2 linked regions of the Caenorhabditis elegans genome follow. The protein of the gene in region 1 interacts with the protein of each later gene in a pairwise test. Each region holds a gene or a part of one and is shown on either strand. Other genes may lie near its edges.

What was found. Proteins that work in one complex are often made in the same cells at the same time.
Region 2: the proteins of hal-3 (region 1) and hal-2 interact in a two-hybrid assay, tested with the Caenorhabditis elegans proteins (one study listed by BioGRID).

Annotation. Positions count from the first base shown.
Region 1 is NC_003280.10:9,615,288-9,619,042, reverse strand, and holds hal-3 (uncharacterized protein), read left to right. Parts: upstream 1-1,917; 5' UTR 1,918-1,919; coding exon 1,920-2,006; intron 2,007-2,142; coding exon 2,143-2,263; intron 2,264-2,326; coding exon 2,327-2,401; intron 2,402-2,466; coding exon 2,467-2,575; intron 2,576-2,622; coding exon 2,623-2,764; intron 2,765-2,815; coding exon 2,816-3,040; 3' UTR 3,041-3,243; downstream 3,244-3,755. Other genes in the region: DnaJ homolog dnj-20, read left to right, coding at 206-403.
Region 2 is NC_003281.10:10,086,924-10,090,678, forward strand, and holds hal-2 (Coiled-coil domain-containing protein), read right to left. Parts: upstream 1,931-3,755; 5' UTR 1,818-1,930; intron 1,663-1,817; coding exon 1,566-1,662; intron 1,513-1,565; coding exon 1,414-1,512; intron 1,364-1,413; coding exon 1,087-1,363; intron 1,038-1,086; coding exon 931-1,037; intron 882-930; coding exon 696-881; intron 644-695; coding exon 483-643; 3' UTR 265-482; downstream 1-264. Other genes in the region: T16H12.2 (uncharacterized protein), read left to right, coding at 1-137; gtf-2H2C (General transcription factor IIH subunit 2), read right to left, coding at 1,931-2,060, 2,109-2,294, 2,346-2,499, 2,553-2,640, 2,689-2,779, 2,824-2,929, 2,979-3,084, 3,128-3,214 and 1 more.

The DNA of each region.
Region 1 (3,755 bases):
AGGGGGTACAATGTTCGAAAGTGTTCAAACAGCTGATCACGAGAATGACGTGGCAAACATAAGGGTGGTGATGAAATGACCACAGTGAACACATATGGTTGAACACAACATTCACGTTTTCTGTTTTCAAAAAGCCAAAAGTTATAGATATTCTTTTTCTAAAATTAATTCCCTTTACCGTTATAATTGAACTTGATTTTTCCAGGTAACCTGGCCAGGGGCCCGTCTTCGTAAGAAGGACGAAGGAATGCCATCCCTTGAAGATAACAACAAGAAGGGTATGCTTGTCGTCACTTTTGATGTTGAATTCCCCAAGACGGAGCTGTCGGACGAACAGAAAGCGCAGATCATCGAGATTCTTCAACAAAACACCGTGAAGCCCAAAGCGTACAACGGCCTCTAAACATTAAATTGGGTGGATGAAGCCTAGAAGTCGACATCAATTACACACACAGTGACCACACTATTAGATCTTTTTCCAATCTGCAAGAAAATTTTTGAAATTTTGCATCGGAAAACTCGTGCTCGATCTCCGGATCAAATCCCACCCCCACCCAACCACTTCAAACCGAAAATCGCCCGAATCTTCTTCTAGCAGACGCTGATCTCTACGTCTTCATCTTCAACTTCATCAAGTCCATCATTTTATAAAACCAATCTTATTTTTCTCAGTTATTTTTTTTCAATGTTTTTTGAGTTTTCTGAGTGGCAAACTTTCGAATTTTAAATTCAAAAAATTTGTATCTGAAAATAATTTAATCATGTTTTCCACTCAAAAAGCCCAAAACCAAACTTGGCCAGCACTCGGTACTAGAAACTGCATCATTGATAAGTTTAAGAAGTTATGGAAATTCTTATGAGTTCACAAAAAACCTCTTATCACTATCATAATCTAAGCTTGTAGCTACCGATCACGGAGATAATCCAGTGTTGAGTCGAACCTGATCTTCAACTCAAAAATGATCCATTTGGATCGAAATTTATATATTATTTGTCGAATTGTATTGCTTATTATTCATTCGTCGAAACAATGCCTTGCTCTCATTGGGCTCGGCTTTCAGGTTTTGACGAATTTATAATATTACTGTGTATTTTCATTGTCACCCAAAAATTGTTAACCACGTCAGAGTTTCTATTTCTCTTTCCCCTTTTCTCTCTCTCCCCTTCGATTTCTTCGTTCTTTTAACAGGTTTCTTACTTTTCTTCTCTACGTCTCTCTGTCTCTCTCTCTCACCCGTCCACAATCTCTGCTTTTCCCATGAATCCAAAGTCTCTGAAATTATCGATTGATTGTTTTTTTTGGGTATTCCATTTTCTCATTTGGTGGCCTTCTCAATTTTCTCGCAAAAATCTAGTTTTCTCAGTTGTTGTATCTGTGATAGAAATTAATTTTTTTTAAATGATTTCTGTAAAGTTCTAGTGTATAATTCCCATTTTTGACTGGAATTTTTCAGAAATCTTCCCCGCAAAGGCTCAATTTTTCTAATGTTCTATACCGAGATGTGCCTTCTTGCCTCTGTGCTCCCCCTTAATTTGGTTTTAACTGTAATTTCAAGATAAATAAGGGAATATTATTCAAACTGTTTTTTTTTGGTTTTAATTTTCAGATAAATTGCATTGCAACAAACACAAAAATTTATAAGAAGAGTGCGAAGAATACACTGAGTATTTAAAATAATTTGTTATGGAGAGTTTAGAAAATTCAGTTTTGCCATATTCTAGGTTTGAAATAAACTTTCAAAGCCAAAGAAAAACAAACAAAAAATGTTCGTCGTCAAATCTAATGCAATTGGTGCAAACACTTGTTGCGTACAAAAATCCACCGTAACCACGGCGTGCTTGAAAATTTAATTTTTAAGTTAATTTTGGGTTAATTTTAAATGTAATCCTTTTGTTTCATGTAAAAAAATATTTCAGAAATGGCGGCAGCAAAAAGAAAATTAGTATTCGATTCTCCAAACGAATCATCAGTAAACTTCGAAACGTCTCCCAATTTTCCGAAAGAGGTTTGTGGTATTAAATATGTAGATAAAAATTCCAATTATATATGCTTTCATCGCAATTGTTAATCATGATTGATTAATCAAGTCAATTTAAAAAATACTCTTCATTAATATTTATCAAAAATCAATCTATTTTCAGTGGAAAATTGACGGAATGGACATTGAAAACCGAATCAGAAATTTCCGCGATGAGCTGCAGGCACAAGGATTATGCCCCGTTGGGAGTGCTGGAATCGATCCGAAATCCAAGTTCCGCACAGGTTTATAATTTCTTGCCCTCAGAAATCAATATTTATATTTATTTAAAAAAGTAAAATATTCAGAATATCGGCGTATTGTCAATGCTAACACAATTCTAACCGACGTGCTTCGTCTTCAACAGAAAGAGGGCGAGTGGTGTAAGTTTAACTGGCGAAAGAATTAATATTATATATATATATATATATTAACCATTCGTTTTCAGTGAAAAATGCCAGTGGACTTTTGGAGTATGATATTCAGTCCCTTCATGCTCGACGCGATCACCTTGACAATGCCGTGGAGCAGTTGAAGAGCCAATTGAGCCGGCTTGAGTAAGTTCTTTCTTTTAAATTTATATTTTTATTTTCCAAATTTGTAGTTCGAGCGTCGCAATTCTGAAATCCCAACAAATGGCCGTGAAGAGTGTTTTGGAGTTGAGAGAGGACGAATATCTCGCTGATGATGCGGATTCCAATTTGCCTGATGAATTTTTGAAATTTAGCAAAATCAGCAAGTTATGTGTAAGTGGAGAGATTAGATAAACTTTCAACTACAAAATATGAACTTTACAGGCCGCTTCTCTCCAATCGTACGAAAATGTAAAAAAACGAAACGAAGAAATGCAAAAAGAGCTGATTGCCGAACGAAATCGGCAACGAAAGCTTCACGACGCGACAATGAAAATGATGGAAGAAAAGGAAAGGGTTCGAGTTGAACAGTTGGAAGATTTGTTCAAAGACTTCTCATTGGAACAACTTACACGGCTCAGGGATCGAATTCGTCAGGCACAAAAATAAAATTTTTTTTTTTTTCGTTTTGCCCTGTGATCTACTTTAAGTTTTTAGTATCGTGTTTTTAATGTGCCATATAAATTATAGCGTTGTGTGTCAGTATTTTATAAGTTTTCAGAAAAGGAACAGGATCAATGGGTTCCTGTAACTGACTGATCTTATTTTTATTTTCATCGAAAGTTCCTATTTATAAAGTATTCAGTAATTTTAAAATTTTGATTCTCAGCATCGACAAATTTGAAGAAAGCAGACACTTAAAAAATTCTGAAAAGTATTTTTTTAAAGTTAAGACAATTCGCATTGAGAAATAATATACATATTGGCCAGGCGCGAAGTTTTATGCCAAAAATACGGTACACGGTCTCGACACACATTTTTTTGTTGAATGCGAGAGGTGTGCTCCTTTAAAGAGTACTGTAATTTAAAACTTTCGTTTCAGCGCAGCTTTCAAGCTTTCATCGATTTTTAAGTTTTTTTACAATTAAAAAAAAATATTTATTTATATTTTTACAATTCAAATGTAACAACAAAAAATATATACATTTTGTCAAATCACGAGGAAAACTGTATTACTCTTTAAAGGCGCACATCTACTCGCATCTAACAAAAATGTGCCGTTCCGAGACCAGGTACCGTATTTTCGGGTAGGAGAGGTAATAAAGGGTTAGTCGTGCCAGGACCTTTCGAAATTTTATATGAAAACTAGTTTTTCCCACTGAAA
Region 2 (3,755 bases), on another chromosome or scaffold:
CACCTAAAATATTGCGGGCTCGCAGACGTTCTCTAATTCGTGCACAGAAGAAAAAAGACTTCCAGGAGCCAGAAAACAAGCACGAGCAACTTACGAGCACAAAGGCGCCATGCCAGGAAAATTGGAGTGATTTCTAAACGACTAACTATTCTCACTCATATATCAAGCACCCAAAGTGTTTCCTTCTTCTCAGTAATTTATCATTAAAGTTTCGAGAAAGCCAACCGTAATAAACCGATTTTCAATTCATAGATAATCTTTATTAGCTATGAAACAGCTCAATGGTTATAATCAGTGGAAAAAATATTAAAAGTTTATTGAAATCAAATCGATTAAAAAACAGATTTTGATATGGAACATGATGTGCATAGAAAATGAAAACATGCGTTATCGCAGTTTGAAAGGGAATAAACAAATACAGCTTAAAATACGAATGAATTGTAGATCTGCCGGAGATTCTAATACTATTCACAGTTGAATTACTAATTGAAGAATTCGTCGAATTCGTTTTCGGTGACCACTTCTTCCGTCGATATGTCACTAGCGTCACGACTGCTTGAATCTGCCGTGCCAACAAAAAGAGACGAATTGTCACCATCAGACAAGGATTCTTCATCTGATTCATCTGACAAAGCTTGCGGGTCTGAAATTAAGATTCGATTGTTGTCAATTGAATTGAATAATTTAATACCAACCACCATAGTGTTCTCGATACCATCGTCGAACACTCATCTGCTTGGATAACACAGGAACATGCTTCAACTGATTCCCAGCATCTTGTTTATTCTTGGACTCTTCAATGGCATGAGCAATTCCTTCCGCGACCCGTTCCGTGTTATTGCTGTGACTTCTGAAATCATCGATTTTCAGATTGTGCACATCTGAAAAAAAAAACTATTAATAACGAGTCGAAATAATCAAATAAATTACCGATGGCTACACCAATCTCCCTGATGATGTCTTGTCGCAGCACATGCTCAATTCTTTTCGTTTTCAAAGAATCCATATTGTGGCTCAATTCACGAAACTTTCGCATCCTGCAACATTTAGTAATTATATTTATATTCGTTATCAACAACAGCTTACCACTCGACGTCTTTGAACAATTCTCTCCATTCCATCAACTGCTGCGTGACAAATGAAACCAACACATCCGGCAATCGATGACTCTCAACAACTGCAGCAACGTCACGGAGATCCTCGAATCGAAAGCAATCCATGACATCATCGCTGCGGTTCATAAGCTCTTTGTAGAAGGATCTCCAATATGTTTGTGACCTGAAGTAGACATCGAGAGTGTTGGATTCCTTGTGAAAACGTTTTATCTTCTTTTTCAGCGGGCAAAGTATTTGCATTTCAATCTCTGAAAAACAAAAGTATAAATTGAAAATTTCAGAAAAAATTCAAACTCACTATCCAAGTGATCGATTGCGGTTTTGGCAGATCGAAGAAACTTTTGAAACTCTCTGTCATAGTTTGTCTTCAATTTTGAGACGTGAGGAGTGTAGAAACCTGAAATATAAAGAATTAGAGATTCCGCTAAATCTTTTATTGATAAAACATACCAGAGGCGGAATGTGCCCTGTGCGTTTGCCGACCCATGGGTATCGGAGTTCCTGGCATTTGCTGCCTTTGCCGTTTTGCTTTTACCGGTGTGTTCATCTAAATTGTACAAAAATTGACCAAATGAAGCAAAAAAACAACGAAGAAAGCTATGTATTTAAGATAAAAATTAATTTTAACAGTGTAATTGGCGCCCGAATACCCGCTTGTTCAATTTTCGTTTCGAGACCCACGACTGGAAGATGGGCACGCACCTTGAAATGTAGATTTACGGAGCCGATCGATTTATTTTAGAATTTTTATAAAAAAGATGAAATAAAACCCGTCCGAAAAGTGAGAGAACGTGAGTAATTTAAAAAAAGAGATATCAGTTGCATCCGGGGCATACGTGTAGAGACTCGTGAAGAAGAGTATCACAATCGAGACAAAACACAAGCTGGCAACTACCACAGCGAAAACCTTCACCAGATAGACGAGTTTCACATGCGTAGCAGAATCTGAATATCTTAATTGTCTTATATATTTTTTTCTTAAATCTGACGTACCCTCGTGTCACTTCAATTTGCTCAAAAGCTGACAGCGGCTGAAGATGTCGAAACGCTCGAGCAAGCTGTGGAGCTGCGACAAGTGTAAGTTTGCAAACCGGGCATTCAGCTGGAATCGAGCAGTGACGTGCTCCGCACTGTGTACAAATGAATCCACGAGATGAGATTGGCTTCGTGTCAGGATGACTGAATTAGCAAAAATTAGCTTTAAAAGAAGTTCATTTAAAAAAACCTCACCAAACACAAAACGATCTTGTTGTAATCAGCTCGTGGTGTGGAAATCCAACATGAATTGCGTTGCATTCACTCGATTTTGCTGAGGACGGTGGGAGTGTATGCTTTGAGAATAAAAGTTGCAGATGGTCAGGGTCAAGAGCTACGGAATATTCTCCTGTAAATCATTATTTTGGAAAAGTTTATTTTAAAGAATAAAATAAAAATCACCTTTCGTTGCTTTAGCCATTTCCTTGCAAACGAACATTTCAGCAGACAGTCCAATAGCAGAACAACGAATATTCATTCGCTTCATTGTCTTGAAAATGTTACAGATTAGAAAAATCTACTTTTTTAGTCAAATAACCTCAATAGTGCTGTAAATATTTCCAGGATCAATTGTTGAAAGTGCTGATATAACGAGAACAACTTCTCGTGATACATGACCCGGCATTCCTCTAAAAATCAATATTTTATATTCTGAAAACGATTTTTAACTTACTTCAGGTTGGCACAAGCTAATTGAAGAGCGTTTTGAAGAGAAAAATCGCCACCACAGAAAGCTTCAGTTAGTGTGTTCAGCGATTCTTTTAGCACACGAATATTTCCTGAAATCCGTTGAAAAAAAAATTGAAAATCTCGAATATTGAGTCTAACCTGTCATCATTGTCAACCGATCTGCTTTACGATCTTTACAAGTGATCAATCCAATCTGAGCAATTGGATTTTGCTCGAAGAATCTGTCCAGGAAGGTTTGTAGAGCCTGGAAACATTCAAATACATGTCAAATAAATCGTTTTTCTAACCTTCATAACAACTACAAATCTCGATGGAGGCATTGCCTTGCTCGTCATGAATCGTGAGCAATCGATGACAATCATGACGTGGCGCATCTGAAATTAATTTGGAATTGCAATTTTGTAATTGATTTCATTTTATTGTGTTACAATTCCGAGGCGAATCCGTTCCGGTCTCTTCGTCAATCGGGCTTTTCGTTTGCTATCAGCCACGTATTTGGCAATTGATTTTTCGATAGATCCACCTTCATCTTCCACAAGGACATCATTGATGTTCAGGCCTGAAATTTAACTGATAATGGCTTATATTTCATAAATTTATTGAATAAGTGGTGATATTACTCGGAAACAAAAGTTTTGTAATTTTTGGGTCAAAAATACAGTCCAAAGTCTCGACACATCAATTTTTTGTTAAATTTTAAAATGTGTGAACCTTTAAAGAGTAATGTAATTTTAACCTTAAATAAAATATACGTTTTTTATCGAAAAGCTACGGAAAATGATTGAAATTCTTTAGCAAAAACAAGATTTTTCAATTCTAGTTTTTTGGGTATTAAAATGTTTTCCGATATTTTGAAAAATAATGTTTTTACCATTTTTTCTCCTTTAATTTTCGTTTTTCGCTGTTTAATTTTTG